Macaca mulatta: one gene and its partners. The protein of the gene in region 1 interacts with the protein of each later gene in a pairwise test. Links are inferred from orthologs where the notes say so. Each region holds a gene or a part of one and is shown in the gene's direction. Other genes may lie near its edges.

Region 1 (5,272 bases):
TATAAACTGCAGTTTGGCCTCATTTCCTATTTAGCTGTGGGTTGGATATTGATCTTAGTCTGAGGATAGAGCAGTGAACAAAACAAACTGGATCTAGGTTTTCTTGGAGTTCAGAGTTATTAAACTAGGCTCTGAAGTGGACATCAGGAGATTCCCTCCAAGACTTTGAGGACATGGTTATATTTCAGCCATATTTGTTAAAGAATGGAGTTCATTATTTTTTCCTGATTTGGCCTCAGTGCTTCAGGCCTGTGTCATGAGACGTCATCCCCAAGTTCCTGAGAAAGTGCAGTTTGGCAATGAAGATGTCAATCAGGAGGAGAGTCTGTCTGCATCCCAGCATCCCTTCATTCTTTTTTTTGGCGGGGGCGGGAGGAGGGGAGGTGGCGGACTCTCGATCTATCGCCCAGGCTGGAGTGCAGTGGTGTGATCTTGGCTTACTGCAACATCCGCCTCCCAGATTCAGGCGATTGTCATGCTTCAGCCTCCCGAGTAGCTGGAATTACAGTCGTCCACCACCACGCCCAGCTAATTTTTGTATTTTTAATAGAGACAGAGTTTCACCATGTTGGCCAGGCTGATCTGGAACTCCTGACCTCAAGTGATCCGCCCTCCTATGCCTCCCAAAGTGCTGGGATTACAGGTGTGAGCCACCGCAGCCGCCATCCCTTCATTCTTAATGTGATTCGTTTGCGCAGTCAGCCGTCGATACCCCTGGACAGTCTGCTTTCCCTGCTTCTGTACGGCCTTGGGGGGCCTTTCATTTAAAAATCAAAATGGAGAGGTTTTAATTAATCGGAGTGTTCACGTATGAAGGAAAAGGGAGAGGTTTTAATTAATCGGAGGGTTCACCTATGAAGGAATGGAAGAAACTAAAAAGTGGTACCAGTTTTCTGGATGCTGACTTCAGGCAGGGAGTTCCTGTACTTAAGACCAGGGCAGTTCTTCTGAGGGAACAGAAGTTGGTGTGCACTCCGTCCCTCACTCCAAACAGTGTGGTACCAACATCAGCTAAGGTGTTGGGGTGGCAGGGTGTTAGAATCCTGGTAATGGAGGAGCTGAGAAGTAAGAGTACCTTCAAGAGAAATGCTTGCCGAGTCAGACCTAAGGAGGATGTGTGTTAAATATTTTCCTTCTCTTCTGAGCCACAGAACACAAGCAAATTAGGCTTTTCGATAACACTGTTTCCATGGGAAAATGCTTTATGGGCCCCCTGGGAACTGACAGACTTTGGGAATTTGTCCATAAATTGGGAACTACTGTGCTAAGCATTTGCTTGCAACTTGTGGGTTTCTGTTTAAATTATGTTCTCTTTCTGTCTGTGAGATTGATTTCTTATTTGAAGAAGTAAGCATGTCGGTGGGTTTCGGAATGTTGAGTTTTTTTTTAAAAGTGGCAGTTGGGGTTCACTGGTGAGGGCTCTGGAGTTGGCCTGGCTGGGTTGGAAGGGGCTTCCACTGTGGCCTTGGGCAGATTGATTCCCTAAACCCCAGCATCCATGTCTGTACAGTGCTGGGCTTTCATGGGACCTGCTGCCGATGCTGCATTGCATGTCATGCTTTGTGCCTGCTGACTTGATTTTTGTTTTCACGTGTTCCTCTGTTCTGCACGGAAGCTGTGTGTTGCTTGTTCACATGCAGATTGTTGATTGTCTCTTTGTAATTGCTATCATTAAAGATGACAAGTTTCCACTTGGGGGGGATATGAGGAAGTCATAGTATTTAAGATATAACCAGCACCGCCCCCCCCCCCCCCCCCCCGCCGATAATCGTAATTGACAAAATCACATCTAAGAGGTCATTTCTGTCACTTTTTTCCCTAAGAGTATGTTTAAATTTTTTCTTTATGAAAGGGTAGCTAATTGTGCTAAATCAACCTGGTAATTTGTGTTTTTAAGGCTTCTACTTTTTGGCACTGACATGAATAGAATTTTTTAAACATTGGATATATGTAATTAATAATGTCTCAATTCTTACCTCATTATGTGCCCTAGCTTTGAAGGATTTCACTCATGGATCACCTGACTGCATGGTCTTGTAGATGGAAAAATGAATTCTAGAGCCTTATTTTAAAAATAATACATGGTGTAGCTTCATATATCGGGAAGAACCCTGCATTAATGGTACCAGGAGCCTTGGCCTCTGTTGCTGAAAGGTCCTGGACCTTTTACCTCTAAAATTTCGTGATTTTTATTTTAACATGAAAAGCCTTTATTGAATTGTGCATTCTTTAATCCCCACCCCTTTTGCCTTTCAGCATTAAACTGAAGAAAAGATGTCCCTGTACGATGACCTAGGAGTGGAGACCAGTGACTCAAAAACAGAAGGCTGGTCCAAAAACTTCAAACTTCTGCAGTCTCAGCTTCAGGTGAAGAAGGCAGCTCTCACTCAGGCAAAGGTAAAGACAAGCCCAGAGCAGGAGAGCAGAGGCCTCCAGAGTGGGTTGCTCATTAGGATGACAAGGAGTTTGGTTTCAGCTTGCTCTTCTGCCTTTGTATTGGGTAAATGGTGTTAAACATTTGTAGGGGGAGAGGAATGAGGAGTTTAAGGCCGCTTTGCTGCTCCTGGCTCCTGGGAATGGGAACATTTCATGGGATAGGAATGAAGAAAAACAGTACTCTGTGGGGTTGGGCACGGTGGCTCACGCCTGTAATCCCAGCACTTTGGGAGGCCAAGGCAGGCAGATCATGAGGTCAGGAGATGGGAGACCGTCCTGGCCAACACGGTGAAACCCCGTCTCTACTAAAAATACAGAAAATTAGCTGGGCATGGTGAGTGGGTGCCTTTAGTCCCAGCTACTCGGGAGGCTGAGGCAGGATAATGGCATGAACCTGGGAGGCAGAGATTGCGCCACTGCACTCCAGCCTGAGTGACACAGCAAGACTCTGTCTCAGGACGGGCGTGGTGGCTCAAGCCTGTAATCCCAGCACTTTGGGAGGCCGAGATGGGCGGATCACGAGGTCAGGAGATTGAGACCATCCTGGCTAACACGGTGAAACCCTGTCTCTACTAAAAAATACAAAAAATTAGCCGGGCGAGGTGGCGGGCGCCTGTAGTCCCAGCTACTCGGGAGGCTGAGGCAGGAGAATGGCGTGAACCCGGGAGGCGGAGCTTGCAGTGAGCTGAGATCCGGCCACTGCACTCCAGCCTGGGCGACAGAGCGAGACTCCGTCTCAAAAAAAAAAAAAAAAAAAGGCTCTGTCTCAAAAAAACAAACAAACAAAGCAAAACTGGTACTCTGAACCAGCAGTGACACTGGTTTTCAAACTTAAGTAGTGGAGGTCTAAGATTGAGTGAGAACTTGTTTAAGGTGCTGATTGTGTAGCCATACTCCTGATATTCTGGTAAACTCTAGTTTAGACTGGAGCCCCAGGAGTGGGCATTTTTAAGTAGCATTCCTACTGGTTTGTTGGCGGTAGTTTGGAAGCAGCACTTTGGGAAGAAGCTCCACAGAATACCTAAGCTGCTGGGTGTAACTTATTGAGGGCTGGGGTTGGTTGTGAAGGTGTCAGGCATATGTAGTCTGGATGCTAATTGCTTTTGTTTCTGTTGTGTGCATGTTGGATATTGGCAATGTCCTTGAAATAACTCAACATGTAAAACATTAAAAACATAGTTGTCGACTGGATATTTGCCATTAAAATGTAGGCATGAGAATGGTATGATTTGTTTACTATTTTAGAGGTCGTTATGCTCTAGAGTTTGCATTCGCAGTGGAGGCTATATCCCCCCAAACGGAGCGAATGTTGGTCTTTTGGGGGGCAAAAAAATCTTGCTCATATTGTGCACAGTGTTAAAATTTCATGTGTCGGAAAAAATGTATTAAAAGGCTCCTTGTTGGGGAGGCAATAATTAAACTTGAGAAAAAGTACTTTAGAGATACATGCTGAAATATTTACTGATAAGATGATGTCATTTTTGGGATTTACTTCGAAACAATTCAGTACCAGGCAGGGGAGGGAGGGAAGAACAGAACTACCCATGAGTTGGTAATGGTTGAAACTGGATAGCAGAGACTTAAGAATTTATAATCTCTTTAATTTCATGTTTGAAAATTTCCATAATACACAGGGTTTTTTTTTAAAGTTTTACTCATTTTTCTTTTCCCTTTACCACATCAATAGATACTTACATGGAAGTGCTTACGTTTGATTGTTCAGTATTGTAGAAGTTTTTTTGTCTTTTTAAAATTCATCATTACCAAATTTAGATTTTTTGGATGCGAGTATTTTTTGTTTTTTTAAAGCAAGTTTTCATTCCAAATGTAAGGAAGGTTAGCAAAACCTCGTTTTTCTCTTTAATTTTTTAAAAAAGTAAATGTATAAAATCTTTGTAGATTTCATGTAACTTTTGCTTTGCAGGAAAGATGTGGATGTGAGCCACCATGCCCGGCCTCATATAGATTTTTAAAACTTGAGGTAGCTTGTGAAGTTATTTCTACTAACTTTCTAAAACTTTTGAGATTGCTATGTACAGTTAGTTTTGTGGGTTTGTTTGTTTGTTTGTTTAAGGGAAATGAAGATTGCATTCTCTTAGGCTGTTTAGTTACTCAGAATACTAGATTGGCCTAGCCAAACCTGTAAAGATATTTATTTGGTAGAGAAAATTTGAAGCTGTGGTTTCATTTGTATCTCCATTTGAAAAATACAAAGTTGTTTCTTGGTGTCCACAGGGGATTGGTTCGAGGATCCCCCCGCACCGGATACCAAAATCCAAGACTGCCCAAGTCCCTTATATAAAATGGTGTGGAGTTTGCACATAACCAGCACATATCTTCCCATATTTTAAATAATCTCTGGATTGCTTGCAATACCTAACACAATGTAAATGCTGTGTAAAAAGTTGTTATACCGTATTGGTTTTTTAATTTGTATTTTTTCTTGTATTGTTTTATGTTCTTAATATTTTCATCCTGGGGTTAGATATGTGGAACCTGTAGATACAGAGGGCCAACTCTATATTGAATAGAAAATAATAGAAAATACGTGATTCTGACTGGGCACGGTGGCTCGCACCTGTAATCCCAGCGCTTTGGGAGGCCGAGGCGGGTGGATCACCTGAGGTCAGGAGTTTGAGGCCAGCCTGACCAACATGGTGAAACCCTGTCTCTAATAAAAATACAAATATTAGCCCAGTGTGGTGTCATGCGCCTGTAATCCCAGCTACTCTGGAGGCTGAGACAGGAGAATTGCTTCAACCTGGGAGGCGGAGGTTGCGGTGAGCCTAGATCGAACCGCTGTATTCCAGCCTAGCGACAGAGCAAGACTCCATCT
Region 2 (4,057 bases), on another chromosome or scaffold:
TCTGTAGGAGAACCAGCAAGCGCTTCCACGAGCCCTCGGTGCCCGCCTGGGCACTGAGCTCCTGACAGCTGTTCATGGTGGTATTGCTGTGGGGGACGTGTGCTCCACCCCTCCCCTGCAGCCTCCTTCCCTCCTTGCAGCTTCGGAACCAAAAAGAAGCTTCCCAGAGCCGGGGCCAGGAGCCCCAAGCGCCCTGTAGCAGCAGACACAGAAGGTATAGGGAGGGAGGAGTCTGGGGCTGGCGGGTGGCTGGAGGCCCCGGGCTTGCACCCCAGCACCCTCTCCTTCCCCAACAGGAGCTCTGTGTGTCGTCTGAGCAGTCGAGAGAAGATTTCCCTCCAGGACTTGTCCAAGGAGCGCCGGCCTGGTGGGGCTGGGGGGCCCCCCATCCAGGACGAGGATGAGGGGGAAGAAGGTCCCGCCGGTGAGGAGCCTGAATCCGGACTCCTGGGTCCGAGGGAGGAGGGGTCGGGTTCTCTGAATCTAGAGGCAGCTGGCATCTTCTGTGACCTACCCGGTGTTCCCACATCACAGAGCCACGCCCTGCAGAGCCCGGAACCCTCAATGGCGTCTCCTCCCCACCGCACCCGAGTCCTAAGAGCCCCGTGGTGAGTGGATGCCCTGAGAGGTCCTGTGAGGCCGGGAGGGCCGGGAGGTGGGAGTCCATAAAGCCTGTGAACCTCTGGCAGGGGCAGGTAGGGTGAAGACTGTAGTTCCCAGAGTCCTCCTGGACAACCGGCTTCCTTTGTAGGTTGCGCTTGCCCCAGGGGCTGATGGGAATTGTAGTTTGGTGCAGTCCTTTGGGGGCTAACCCTTGAGGTCTGAGAAGAGGGATCCTTTCTCCCTGAGACCTCCTTCTTCTCCCAGCCGCCTGAAGAGGCCCCCTTCTCCAGGCGCTTTGGCCTCCTGAAGACAGGGAGTTCTGGTGCCCTGGGTCCCCCGGAAAGGCGGATGGCAGAGGGAGCCCCGGGGGCTGGGCTGCAGCGCTCGGCTTCCTCCTCCTGGCTGGAAGGGACCTCCACCCAGGTGAGTGAGGGTTGGGCGGGGTCCGGGCCCAGGCCCCTGCCCAGTTGGGGGAACTGCCCCTTCCTCCTCCTCTCCACACAGGCCAGGGAGCTCCGTCTTGCCAGAATTACCCCGACCCCCTCCCGGAAGCTGCCGGAGCCCTCTGTCCTGTGAGTCCCCAAGGCCTGGGCCCCTCGGGGGTAGGCGGCAGATGTGGGTTCCAAGCCTGTCCGTATGATCCTGAGTGAGCCCGTGTACCCCCCGGGTCTGATTCCTGCTCCCACCCCAGAGCCTGTGCTGTGTTCCTCCTGGCGGCTGGCTCCCTCCCTCAAGCCCGTGTTGAAACGTCACCTTCTCCCCATCATCCCCCACCCCGAGGCGCACGGACCACCTGCTGCCACCTCTGCGCCGTCGGCACATGCCCCTGCCGCTCCGCTCCCAGTTCTCGCGCTGCTGCTTCTGTCCAGCGTGCTTTACCCTTCTGACCGGCTGGGTAGAGTGCTGGTCTTTTCATGGCTGTTGTCAGTTTTGTGTATTTCTGCTCAGCTCTGACTCTGGTGGCCCAGATAATTTGTTTCTTTTGTTCACGGCTGCATCTCCAGTGCCGGCACACAATGCACCTGGGTAATGTTTGTTGAATGAATGAATTGATGCAGGTCTGAGGTCACCAAGCCTCCTCCTTGCTTGGAGAACTCCTCGCCTCCCTCCAGGATTCCGGAGTCTGAATCTCCAGCGAAGCCAAACGCCCCCACCGCCTCCACAGCACCCCCAGCGGACTCCCGGGACCGACGGAGGTGCAGAGGCCAGGGCAGGAAGCTGCCGCCCCAGCCAGCAGAGACTATGTCAAGCCGGAGTCCCGGGGCTCTGGGTGGGCTCCTGAGGGAGGGCTGGCCCCGGGTCTGCTGGGAGTTGGAGTCGCCTCCCACAGAACTTGCCTCCCGCGGAGGGTGCCCGCCACGGAATGGGACAGGGTCCCCAGTGCCCCTCCCTGAGGTTGGGACCCTTCCCTCAGGTCCTACCAGATGCCTGTGCGGGATGAGGAGTCGGAATCCCAGAGAAAAGCTCGCTCCCGTCTCATGCGCCAGTCTCGGAGGTCCACGCAGGTGTGGGGTGGGCTGGGGTCTGGACTCCTGGGTCTGAGGGAGGAGGGGACTGGGGGGTCTGGACTCCCGGGTCTGAGGGAGGAGGGGCTGGGGGTCTGGACTCCTGGGTCTGAGGGAGGAAGGACTGGGGGTCTGGACTCCTGGGTCTGAGGGAGGAGGGACTGGAGTCTGGACTCCTGGGTCTGAGGGAGGAGGGACTGGGGTCTGGACTCCTGGGTCTGAGGGAGGAGGGACTGGAGTCTGGACTCCTGGGCCTGAGGAAAGAGGAGCTGGGCCCTGACCCCAGCCTCCCCTGACTGTCCCCTTTCCCTGCCAGGGTGTGACTCTGACAGACCTGAAGGAGGCAGAGAAGTCTGCAGGGAAGGCCCCAGAGTCAGAGAAGCTGGCGCAGAGCCTGGTGAGAGGGGTCAGCGAGGGCGCGTGGGGTGGTGCGGGATGTCCTGGTCCCCTGACTCACCAACCCCTCCCGACAGGACCCTTCCCGGAGGCCCCGCGTCCCTGGAGTGGAGAACTCCGACAGCCCGGCCCAGAGAGGTGAGGTCTGCTCTCTGGGGGAGGTCATTCCCCGGGAATCATCGTCTCTCCGAGTCTTCCTGCTTTCCTGGGGGCTTGACCTGGGGACCCGGGCCCCCAGAGGCGTCTCTGGAGGTGCCTGGACTGATTCCTGCCCCTCCCCCAGCAGAGGCGCCTGACGGGCAGGGTCCAGGACCGCAGGCGGCCAGGGAGCCCCGCAAGGTCGGAAAGGAGTGGAGGGGGCCTGCGGAGGTGAGGGGGGCTCAGGTGGGGCCGGGCTGGTGCAGAGGGTGGGCCGGAGGGCGGGCAAAGCCCCTCCCATACCCACTAAAGCCCCTCCCATGCCCATTGAACCCCTCTCTACCTGCCCACAGGGGGAGGAGGCGGAGCCGGCTGACCGCAGCCCGGAGTCCAGGTAGGGGCGGGGTGGGAGAGGTGGGGCCTGCGTGCGGCCCGGGCCGGCCCCTGACGCGCGTTCCGCCCCCGCCCCAGCACCCTGGAGGGCGGCCCCTCGGCCCGCAGGCAGCGGTCACAGCGGGACCTCCACCCAGAACCTGAGCCAGAGTCGGAGGAGCAGGACGGAGGCTTTAGGAAGGTGTGATCCCACCCCTCCTTTGGGGCTCCGCCTGCCGGGTGCCCACCTCCTGGCTTCCCTGCCCCCAGCGTCGCCCCTGCCCTCCACCTGACCCTCCTCCGCCTGACCCTCCTCCACCCGACCCCCAGCTGTATGCAGAGCTGCGCAGGGAGAACGAGCGGCTTCGCGAGGCTCTGACCGAGACCACGCTGCGGCTGGCGCAGCTCAAGGTGGAGCTGGAGCGGGCCACGCAGGTAAAGGCGCCGAGGCCAGGGTCACCAGAACTGGCAGGGCCGCCTGGGTGGGGCTCAGACTGTTGGGAGGCAGAGCCTGGCCTGGAGGGGCCGATGGGGCTTCGCTCCACCTGAGGGCCTGGCCGAGATCTCGGAGGCGGGGTCTGAGCAAATGGGGGTGGGGCTGTGGGCTTGCTGGGGGCGGGGCCTGGCCCATGGGGGTGGGGCTGGTGGGCTGCCTAGTGGGCAGGCGGGTCCCCAGCAGGAACGTAGGACCCCTCCTGAGGGCAGTGCTGGCTTCCCCTGCTGACCCCTGTGCTTTCCGTGTCCTCACCAGAGGCAAGAGCGCTTCGCTGAGAGGCCAGCCCTTCTGGAGCTGGAGAGATTCGTGAGTAGGGACAGTAGGGACGGGAGCCAGAGGTGTTCCCAGCCTCACATCACTAAGTTTGGACCAAGAGAGCCACATTGCCCTTCCCAGCTGGCCCCCGGCCTTCCCCTGTCCTCAGCCTCACTCGGTTTCTGAACTTTCCCTGTTCATTCCAGGAGCGCAGGGCCCTGGAACGCAAGGCTGCAGAGCTGGAGGAAGAGCTGAAGGTGGGGGCTGTGGGGGCTGTGGGCAGAGGGCCGAG
Region 3 (5,272 bases), on another chromosome or scaffold:
AGCCACTGCATTGAGGCCTGGGTGACACAGTGATACCCTGTCTCTAAAAACAACAACAACAATCTCCTGTGGTCCTGGGTGTCAGAGAGACAGCTGCCTCAGGAGCCACGTTCCAAGCTAGATTAAACTTCACATGATATTGGTAGACAATGTCTCCAAAGGCTGGCACTATGTTATTTATGTACTGTTCTCTCAGACTCCTCATAAAGTATACCTAACACTCAATAAATGCATTTTAACTAGCACCTGGCCTCACCATATTGATACTGGAAGCTCAGCTCTCTCTATGCCCATTCCTCCCTCAAACTTCTTGCCCTTAAATCAGAATTGAGAAGTCTCTGTTCTTCCAACCTTTCCACTTAAAATGTGTGGCCTAAAAATAAAAAATAAATAAGACAAAAAAACACCAAAAAACAAAAAGAATGTGTGGCCTAATGATATACACATTTGATGTTGAATCTGTCTGTATGTAGCTCTCTCTAGGGAGATCATGTTCCATCATCTCAGCCAGACTTTAGGTCCTGTGAGTCCAGGCACTGGACTTAACATGCTCAATAGGGCTTTGATGAATGATGATGATGTCAATGCAGACATCCCCATACCCCAGCTTCAGCACCCCCTTCACCTCCTCACACGGGGGCAGAGAGGTCCTCTTTTCCTTCTGGCTATGTTTACACCCTCAACTATCCTTCCAGCACTGGAGACAAGTCTCACCTGCACTAACCTGTCTTTGAAGGTCCTGGGAGCTGGAGGGGTCACAGGCCCTGAGCCAGCAGGCTGAGGTGATCGCTCGGCAGTTGCAAGAACTGCGGCGGCTGGAGGAGGAGGTCCGGCTCCTGCGGGAGACCTCACTGCAGCAGAAGATGAGGCTAGAGGCCCAGGCCATGGAGCTGGAGGCCCTGGCACAGGCAGAGAAGGCCGGCCGAGCTGAGGCTGAGGGCCTGCGTGCTGCTTTGGCTGGGGCTGAGGTCGTCCGGAAGAACTTGGAAGAGGGGAGCCAGCGCGAGCTGGAAGAGGTTCAGAGGCTGCACCAAGAGCAGGTGAATGCAGGGGTGGGAAGGATTTAAATTCATAACGGAGAGCTGGGCAGTAGCTTCCAAGCAAAGAACAGGTATTGCAGAAGAGACTCTCCATGAGTAGTGAGTAGTGGAGTGATGAGACCTTTGGTGAAAAGAAACACACATGGCCTAGAAAGATGGAGAATTTGGTTATTTTGATCTTAATTCAGGTTGCACTTTTTCCCCAAGACTCAGGTGGCCTCCCACGACTTGAAGCCCTGCTTCCTTTTCTAGTAGGAAGTAGTTTGCCTCCCTGCTTTACTCTGGGTACCAATTCATCGGGGGTATTGTGGAGGGCAGTGAGGAAGGTGGATATAAGGGGGCTATGGTGGACTGGGAGAGAGAGATTATTCAGTCCGCAAACTCAGTGCTTACTCTTTGCCATCTCAGACTCAGTGACCAAATTAGCCTGAATCCTGCCTTCATGGATGGAACTGACAGCCTCATGGGGGATACACACATCCACTTTTAATTTAATCATAATTAATTGCAATCAGGAGGAGTGCCTTGAAGGCGAAGGACTAGAGAGCACTAACTTAGTCTGGGGTTCAGGGAAGGCCACTGTAACCAATTGGACATGTCAAGGAAAGAAACCATAAGGCCGGGTGCAGTGGCTCACGCCTGTAATCCCAGCATTTTGGGAGGCCGAAGCAGGTGGATCACAAGGTCAGGAGTTCAAGACCAGCCTGGCCAACATGGTGAAACCCCGTCTCTACTAAAAATACAAAAATTCACCAGGCATGGTGATGCACACCTGTAATCCCAGCTACTCAGGAGGCTGAGGCAGGAGAATCACTTGAGCCTGGGAGGTGGAGGTTGCAGTGAGCCGAAATTATGCCATTGCACTCCAGCCTGGGCAACAGAGCAAGACTCTGTCGCAAAAAATAAAATAAAAAAGGAACTGGGAGAAAACAAGGGAGAAATTCTTTGTAACCTTGTAGTGGGCAAGGCCTTTCTACCTGTGAGTCAAAATCCAAAATCTAGAAGCCGTAAAGGAAAAGATTGATCCATTGACTTTATAACATGAACATTAGGAATGGTGGGGAAAAAAAAAAAAAAGCTCTATTTATAGCTCAGATCACAAGAAAAGGGTAATATCCCTAATATAAAATGTGTGCCTAGAAATTGGTAAGGGAAAGACCAGCAATCCAGTCAGAAAGTGGACAAAGGAGATTCATGAAAGAAACTCAGAAACAAGAAGCTAGGCCGGGCACAGTGGCTCACACCTGTAATCCCAGCACTTTGGGAGGCTGAGGTGGGCAGGATCACTTGAGGCCAGGAGTTCAAGACCAGTCTGGCCAACATGAAGAAACCCAGTCTCTACAAAAAATACAGAAATTAGCCGGGTATGGCGATGGGCGCCTGTAATGCCCCAGCTTCTTGGGAGGCTGAGGCAGGAGAATTGCTTGAACCTGGGAGACAGAGGTTACAGTGAGCTGAGATCACCACACTCCAGCCTGGGCAGCAGAGCGAGACTGAAAAAAACCAGCAAGCCACCATTTGTGCTGAATAGGAGTTGGCCAGTGAATAGGTGTGTGAGGTCCAATGGTCTCTGGAGAACACTCGGCAGGACAACTGGTGGAGGCGGGGACAGGCGGAGGCCAGAAGGCTGGAGCATAGAGATCAGGGGCGCTGAGTGTGCTGCAGAGCATGGGACCCAGGGCACAAGGCCTTGGCCACTTCAGAACTTGCTACTTTCCCTTAAGAGCAATGAGCAGGCTGGGCACGGTGGCTCATACTTGTAATCCTAGCACTTTGGGAGGCTAAGGCAGAAGGATCACTTGAGCCCAGGAGTTTGAGACCAGCCTGGGCAACAAAGTGAGCCCCCATCTCTATTTTATTAAATAAACTAGGGCTGGGCATAGTTGCTCACATGTGTAATCCCAGCACTTTGGGAAGCTGAGGTGGGTGGATCACTTGAGGTCAGGAGTTCGAGACCAGCCCTGCCAACATGGTGAAACCTCATCTCTACTAAAAGTACAAAAATTAGCTGGGCGTGGTGGCTCATGCCTGTAATCTCAGCTACTCGGGAGGGTGAGGCAGGAGAATCGCTTGAACCTGGGAGGCAGCGTTTGCAGTGAGCTGAGATTGTGCCATTGCACTTAGTCTGAGCAACAAAGTGAAACTCCATCTCCAAAATAACAAAAAGAAAACAAAATTGTTTTTTTAAGTGATAAGCAACTGTTGAAAGGTTTTAGGCAGGGAAATGACATGATTAGATTTGTATTTTATGTCTAAAAAGTTTTGTCATTTATATCCCCCAAATTAACTTTATTGTTGTATGGAGACGGGGCTAGAGGAGGCAGACCAGGAAGCAGGGTGGCCACTTTGCCCTCCTTCCCAGTCCATCCCATGACTGTTGGTGGCTCTGACACCCCTGCAACCCTTTGAGGTGCCATGAGCAAAAGACACAAAATTCCTCCTTTCCTGGAGCTTTCCTTCCGATGTGGTCTGAAAGATAGTAACACATACACATAAGCAAGATATGGTCAGTGCTAAGTGCTCGGGAGGACGTGAGCAGTTGATGGGGCACAGGAGGGTGGTGAGAGTTATTAGAGGGCCCAGCGAAGCCACCCTGAGGAGGGGCTATCACCTGGGGTCTGTGGAGCAAGGAGGGGCCGCTGTCTGGTTCTCAGCGGACTCCCTGTGGCTGGAGGGGGGAGCATTAGGAGAGCCTCTAGGGTGAACTCAGGAGGCAGGCAGAGGCTGGGTCCCCCGGCCTGCAGGTGTGGAGAGATGCCTGGGTTTTGCTGTGAATGCTGTGAGAAGCCACCGAGGGTTTGTAAAGACTAGTTAGGAGATGGTCCCTGTTGCCCAGGCAAGAGATGAGGGTAGCTTACCTTGGGTTGGTGGCAGTGGAGACGGAGACGGAGAGAGGTGAAGATATGTTTTGGGGGAGATTGAACAAGAACTCCCGATGGGTTGTGGGGCAACTGCAGAGAGTGAGTTACCAGCTCTCCATTTGCTATGCGCAGTTGGGTGATTGGTTTGGTCATTGTCTAAGGTCACAGAAAGTGGGAGTGAAGGGAACAAGGAAGGCCTCCATGTGGGGTCGAGCTCCTGCTGAGCCTCCTCTTCTTTCCACAGCTGTCCTCTTTGACACAGGCTCACCAGGAGGCTCTTTCCAGTTTGACCAGCAAGGCCGAGGGCTTGGAGCAGTCTTTGAGTAGTCTGGAAACCAGGAGAGCAGGGGAAGCCAAGGAGCTGGCCGAGGCTCAGAGGGAGGCCGAGCTGCTTCGGAAGCAGCTGAGGTAGGTGGGTGGATGCCGACGGGGGCCCAGCAGTTGGTGATGTGGTGGGTCTGCAGGGTGCCCCACTGATGGCTGTCCCATTCCCACCCCAACCCTAGCAAGACCCAGGAAGACTTGGAGGCTCAGGTGACCCTGGTTGAGAATCTAAGAAAATATGTTGGGGAACAAGTCCCTCCTGAGGTCCACAGCCAGACATGGGAACTGGAGCGACAGAAGTTTCTGGAAAACATGCAGGTGAGTGTGCAGGAGTGCATCTGTGTGGGGACTTGGGGATCAGGTTGGGGGGCAAGTGTGGCCCTTGGAGGAGCGTGTAGAGCACAGCCCTCAGGAGAGAAGGTGGTACCCGAGGCGGCATGGAGGCCCTACAGGGGGGCTGCTTCTCTCCGCCCGCAGCACTTGCAGGAGGACCGGGATGGCCTGCACGCCACCGCGGAGCTGCTACAGGTGCGGGTGCAGAGCCTCACGCACATCCTCGCCCTGCAGGAGGAGGAGCTGACCAGGAAGGTATGGCCCGACCCCCAGATCCCTCACCCTCAGCCGCATCCTACACCTACTGTCCCCCACCCTCCTCCCTGTGGGTGGGAGGGTTCGATGTGCCCCAGAACCTGCTTGGATCTCTTTCTTCCTGTGAACTCCTCTTGCTGTAGCTCATGTTGTCCGGGCAAGACAGAGGAGAAACAAAGATGCCACCTCCTTCCTCTCCTCCCCCAGGAGCCCACACTTTCCTCCCGCTCCTTCTCCCTCAGGTTCAACCTTCAGATTCGCTGGAGCCTGAGTTTACCAGGAAGTGCCAGTCCCTGCTGAACCGCTGGCGGGAGAAGGTGTTTGCCCTCATGGTGCAGCTAAAGGCCCAGGAGCTGGAACACAGCGACTCTGTTAAGCAGCTGAAGGGACAGGTCACTGCACTCTCTGTTCTCCCAGTATTCCCTCCCAGCACCTTGCTCCTTCCATAAGAGTGGCATC
Region 4 (5,272 bases), on another chromosome or scaffold:
GTTGGCCAGGCTGGTCTCCAACTCCTGACCTGAAGTGATCTGCCTGCCTCGGCCTCCCAGAGTGCTGGGATTACAGGTGTGAGCCACCTCACCCAGCTCAAGTACATTCTTTGAACATGTGGTGACTCAGTTCTTGCCCTTCAAAATCAGAGTCCAAACTAAAAAAATGGAAAATCTTGGAATTTTATTTTTTTAGGGTGTAAGGATCTCTTTAGAATCTCCCCAGGCATGGTGGCTCATGCCTGTAAGCCTAACATTTTGGGAGGCCAAGGCAGACGGATCACCTGAGGTCAGGAGTTTGAGACCAGCTTGGTCAACATGGTGAAACCCCGTCTCTACTAAAAATACAAAAATTAGCCGGGCATGATGGCAGACACCTATAATCCCAGCTACTCGGGAGGCTGAGGCAGGAGAATGCCTTGAACCTGGGAGGCCGAGGTTATGGTGAGCCAAGATCATGCCACTGCTCTCTAGTCTGGGTGACAGAGCAAGACTTTGCTCAAAAAAAGAATTTCAAAAAGTAGGAAATTGCAAAGTTGGGAGTCAAGACCAGCCTGACCAACTTGGAGAAACCCCATCTCTACTAAAAATACAAAATTAGCCGGGAGTGGTGGCACATGCCTGTAATTCTAGCTAGTTGGGAGGCTGAGGCAGGAGAATCGCTTGAACCTGGGGGACAGAGGTCGAGGTGAGCCGAGATCCCGCCATTGCACTCCAGCATCCAAAGAACAAGAGCGAAACTCTGTCCCTGCCAAAAAAAAAAAAAAAAAAAAAGAAATGCTGAGTCTCAGATCCCACCCTTTTCAATCACAATATACATTTTGATATAATCCCCAAGTGATTTGTTTGCACATTAAAGATTGTGGGGGCCGGGTGCAGTGGCTCACGCCTGTAATCCTAGCACTTTGGGAGGCTGAGGCAGGTGGATCACCTGAGGTCAGGAGTTCGAGACCAGCCTGGCCAACATGGAGAAACTCCGTCTCTACTAAAAATAAAAAAATTAGCCAGGTGTGGTGGCACACACCTATAATCCTGGCTACTCAGGAGGCTGAAGAAGGAGAATTGCTTGAATCCGGGTGGTGGAAGTTACAGTGAGCTGAGATTGTGCCACTGCACTCAAGCCTGTACTACAGGAGCGAGACTCCATCTCAAAAAAAAAAAAAGAAAAAGATTGTGGAAGCAGTGCTTTGAGCCAGTAGTTCTCAGTGGTGACCAAACATTAGAATTACTTTTTTACTCAAGGAGTTCTTTTGTTTTGTTTTGTTTTGTTTTTTATTTTTCCGAGACAGAGTCTCGCTCTGTCACCAGGCTGGAGTGCAGTGGCGCAATCTTACTTGAGGAGTTTTTATACGATTGATACTTTGCTCCCCCTCAGAGAGATTCTGGGGTAAGTCTGGCTATTAGTGTTTTTAAATAAAAGATTTGACCGGGCACGGTGGTTCACGCCTGTAATCCCAGCACTTTGGGAGGCCGAGGCGGGCAGATCACCTGAGGTTGGGAGTTCAAGACCAGCCTGACCAACATGATGAAACCCTGTCTCGACTAAAATTATAAAATTAGCTGGCCGTGGTGGTGCATGCCTGTAATCCCAGGTACTCGGGAGGCTGAGGCAGGAGAATCACTTGAACCCGGGAGGCGGACATTGCAGTGAGCCGAGATTGTGCCATTGCACTCCAGCCTGAGTGACTAGAGCGAAACTCCGTCTAAAAAAAAAAAAACATTTAAAAGTGCAGACAAAGCTGAGAATCACGGCACTAGCCCAGTTGCAGTGCTGCTTTTGCTGTCCCTGGGGCAGGAGGTAGAACTGCAAAGCTTCTTAAAAGTAGGACAGCAAGGAGTAGAGAAATATTTTCTTAAATAAATGAACTACACATAACAATTTTCTGGCAATTTTGCTGAAGGATCTAATATAAAACACTATTGACACATTTTCATGGTTTCTTTCCTATAGGCTCAAACTGTCCAGGTTGCTGAAGTTGAACCACAGTCACAGCCACAGCCTTCCCCAGAACTTCTGCTTCCAAATTCTTTGAAGCCAGAAGAAGGGCTTGAAGTATGGAAAAACTGGGCCCAGACCAAGAATGCTGAATTAGAGAAGGATGCTCAGAACAGATTGGCACCCATTGGGAGTGAGTGTCTGGGAAGAAGAGTGGGCTCTGTCTAAAATGCAGTGGTACTGAAGTAACAGGAGGACAAAATGGCAGAAAAGTGGTATCCCCTGTCTGGGGGAAAAGAGAGCAACATCTGTAATAGTATGTTGAATTCAGTCCTAGCAACAAGCAGTACTGACCCTGTGTACATAATAAGCAGGATGTGTGGGGTTTGCGCAAAACCAGGCATTTTTAGACATACGGGTTTCAGGAGTTGACCCTACCAGACCTGAACACAGTGGCTTCTGGGAGGAAATGGGAACCAGGTAGTAGGCACTCACTCAAGCCCTTCTTTCTTGGCATTAGGCTCATATACTCACATGATAGGCCAGTTCTGACATTACAGGCGTGAAACATTACAGTAGATACAAGTGACCATTTCTGTCCCAGCACCCTCATGGGCAGTATGTGTTCTGAGCCTTCCAGATATGGACCCCCAGGACCTCTATTCGTCCTGGGTTGCCAGGACCTCCATTCATCTTTGGGGCTTTCGTTGCAGGGCGCCAACTGCTGCGATTCCAGGAAGATCTCATATCCTCTGCTGTGGCAGAGTTGAATTATGGGCTCTGTCTAATGACACGGGAAGCTCGAAATGGAGAAGGTGAACCCTATGACCCAGATGTGCTCTACTATATTTTCCTGTGTATTCAAAAGGTAGGAAACAGATCTTCATGAGAACATGTTTGAGCTGTGTTCCTGTTGGATGTTTGCTAGTTTAGTTAATGACAAACAAGAAGTTAAAATAAGGAAGTTCTCTTTCAGGTATATAATGAGTTTTAAAATGCACATTTTTTTAAGTTTTAAAAACGTACATGTTCACTTTAGAAAATAAGAGCCGGGGCCGGGCGTGGTGGCTCACACCTGTAATCCCAGCACTTTGGGAGGCCGAGGCGGGCGGATCACAAGGTCAGGAGATTGAGACCACGGTGAAACCCCGTCTCTACTAAAAAATTACAAAAAATTAGCCGGGCGCGGTTGTGGGCGCCTGTAGTCCCAGCTACTCGGGAGGCTGAGGCAGGAGAATGGCGTGAACCCGGGAGGCGGAGCTTGCAGTGAGCCGAGATCGCGCCACTGCACTCCAGCCTGGGCGACAGAGCGAGACTCTGTCTCAAAAATTAAAAAAAAAAAAAAAAAAAGAGGTCGGGCGTGGTGGCTCAAGCCTGTAATCCCAGCACCTTGGGAGGCCGAGATGGGCGGATCACGAGGTCAGGAGATCGAGACCATCCTGGCTAACACGGTGAAACCCCGTCTCTACTAAAAAATACAAAAATCTAGCCGGGCGAGGTGGCGAGCGCCTGTAGTCCCAGCTACTCGGGAGGCTGAGGCAGGAGAATGGCGTAAACCCGGGAGGCGGAGCTTGCAGTGAGCTGAGATCCGGCCACTGCACTCCAGCCTGGGCAACAGAGCGAGACTCTGTCTCAAAAAAAAAAGAAAAGAAAAAAAATAACAGCCAAGCGAGATGTCTCACACCTGTAATCCCAGAACTTTGGGAGGCTCAGGCAGGAGGATCGCTTGAGCCGCAGGAGTTTGAGACCAGCCTAGGCAACATAGTGAAACCCCATCTCTACAAAAAATTAGCTGGGTATGGTAGTGCGTGCCTGTAGTCCCAGCTGCTTGGGAGGCTGAGGTGGGAGGATTGCTTAAGCCCCAGAGGTTGGGGCTGTAGTGAGTCATGATTATGCCACTACACTCCAGCCTGGGTGACAGAGTGAGACCCTGTCTCAAAAATGAAAAGAAAAATAATTAGCCGGGTGTGGTGGTGCACACCTGTAGTCCCAGCTGTTTGGGAGGCTGAGGCAGGAGGATTGCTTGAGCTCAGCAGTTCGAGGCTACAGTCAGCTATGATTGTGCCATTGCACTTCATTCAGTCTGGGCTGCAAAGCAAGACCTTGCCTCTTAAAAAATAAATGCATAAAATAAATAATAAAATAGGAAAACAAACATTATTCATCATCCTACTACCTAGAGAAACTTCTGTTACATTATTGGTAATTACCTTGACCTTTTTTTGTGTGTAATTCACAAAGCATTTATGTAACACTTTTCTTTTTGTTAAGGTAAACCTGATTTTCATGAAAGTAATTTATTCAAAACAAAGTCTTGTGCCAGCATAGAACTTTCCTTCTCATTGTTCCCTGCATTAACACTAAATACTTATTTGAAGGAGTCTAGCTAGAATAATATACCAATGTAGTTAGGTTTTCAGGACATCTGTTGTGAAGCATAATGGAAATTTGCAGACTGGCAGTTCAAGGGAGCAGAGGTGGATATTTTAGTGCTTGAAGGCTTTTGAGGAGAAATCACAGTATAGTAGAGTAGGGCTTACTGGTTGGGACTCATTCTGTTGGCCTAGTCTTGAGACATGTCTGCCTCCTAGTTTTTTCCTCTCTCGGTGGTCCTAACCTAAGTACTGTGTGAATTGCTTTACATGCTTTCATTCTGTGCTCTCCCCAGTCCTGGAAGGCAGATACCATCATCTCCATTTACAGGCAAGGAAACTGAACCCCAGAAATTAAAAGACTTGCACATGTTATTTAACTTACACAATATCTAATGGAAGACTGACCCTAGAGCCTATTCATGATTTTTGCTAACACAAAACAATGCCTTTCTTGGGTGAAATACCATTCACAACATCTGCCTTATTTACCCAACTCTCAAGAATGTCATGAGAATCAGTCACATGAGCTTAAGCATACTATGGAAGTGTCACATGCTGGTGCCTTAGTTTGTCGAGGTGTGAATGGGTAGGGAAGGATAGTAGTACTGGTAGAAAAATATATTTATTTCCCCTGAAAGCCTTGTTCAGGAGACTACCAATAACTTCTATTAATTGTTTTTCTTTTAGTATCTTTTTGAAAATGGAAGGGTAGATGACATTTTCTCCGATCTTTATTATGTTCGGTTCACGGAGTGGCTACATGAAGTTCTGAAGGATGTTCAGCCCCGGGTCACTCCACTTGGTAAGAGTCTCCCTTGTCCTTGGATATCTTTCCCACCTGGATTTAAGAAAGATCAACAGCTTCTGTGGTTGGCTGTGAAAAGCATGTGAGTGAGGGGGATATAAATCCCAGACTGCAGCAGCATTGGCCACTGTGCTACTTGCCCTGATAGGGAAGAGG

The links.
Region 2: the proteins of RBM17 (region 1) and PPP1R12C interact in binary tests that used the Homo sapiens proteins (3 or more experiments, as listed by UniProt). The two-hybrid records come from large-scale screens. The link is inferred for Macaca mulatta from reciprocal best matches to the Homo sapiens genes RBM17 and PPP1R12C.
Region 3: the proteins of RBM17 (region 1) and CCHCR1 interact in binary tests that used the Homo sapiens proteins (3 or more experiments, as listed by UniProt). The link is inferred for Macaca mulatta from reciprocal best matches to the Homo sapiens genes RBM17 and CCHCR1.
Region 4: the proteins of RBM17 (region 1) and QRICH1 interact in binary tests that used the Homo sapiens proteins (3 or more experiments, as listed by UniProt). The two-hybrid records come from large-scale screens. The link is inferred for Macaca mulatta from reciprocal best matches to the Homo sapiens genes RBM17 and QRICH1.

The regions. Positions count from the first base shown.
Region 1 is NC_133414.1:7,673,811-7,679,082, forward strand, and holds part of RBM17 (splicing factor 45), read left to right. Parts: intron 1-2,256; 5' UTR 2,257-2,274; coding exon 2,275-2,397; intron 2,398-5,272. UniProt on the Homo sapiens protein: Splice factor that binds to the single-stranded 3'AG at the exon/intron border and promotes its utilization in the second catalytic step. Involved in the regulation of alternative splicing and the utilization of cryptic splice sites.
Region 2 is NC_133424.1:67,408,889-67,412,945, reverse strand, and holds part of PPP1R12C (protein phosphatase 1 regulatory subunit 12C), read left to right. Parts: intron 1-140; coding exon 141-214; intron 215-296; coding exon 297-424; intron 425-534; coding exon 535-605; coding exon of another isoform or gene 606-608; intron 609-867; coding exon 868-1,026; intron 1,027-1,107; coding exon 1,108-1,175; intron 1,176-1,661; coding exon 1,662-1,799; intron 1,800-2,017; coding exon 2,018-2,108; intron 2,109-2,424; coding exon 2,425-2,505; intron 2,506-2,581; coding exon 2,582-2,642; intron 2,643-2,787; coding exon of another isoform or gene 2,788-2,790; coding exon 2,791-2,873; intron 2,874-2,995; coding exon 2,996-3,036; intron 3,037-3,113; coding exon 3,114-3,216; intron 3,217-3,344; coding exon 3,345-3,449; intron 3,450-3,765; coding exon 3,766-3,816; intron 3,817-3,971; coding exon 3,972-4,022; intron 4,023-4,057. UniProt on the Homo sapiens protein: Regulates myosin phosphatase activity.
Region 3 is NC_133409.1:151,910,144-151,915,415, forward strand, and holds part of CCHCR1 (coiled-coil alpha-helical rod protein 1), read left to right. Parts: intron 1-736; coding exon 737-1,040; intron 1,041-4,145; coding exon 4,146-4,309; intron 4,310-4,407; coding exon 4,408-4,543; intron 4,544-4,702; coding exon 4,703-4,813; intron 4,814-5,055; coding exon 5,056-5,205; intron 5,206-5,272. UniProt on the Homo sapiens protein: May be a regulator of keratinocyte proliferation or differentiation.
Region 4 is NC_133407.1:112,478,228-112,483,499, reverse strand, and holds part of QRICH1 (transcriptional regulator QRICH1), read left to right. Parts: intron 1-1,951; coding exon 1,952-2,129; intron 2,130-2,649; coding exon 2,650-2,804; intron 2,805-4,998; coding exon 4,999-5,113; intron 5,114-5,272. UniProt on the Homo sapiens protein: Transcriptional regulator that acts as a mediator of the integrated stress response (ISR) through transcriptional control of protein homeostasis under conditions of ER stress.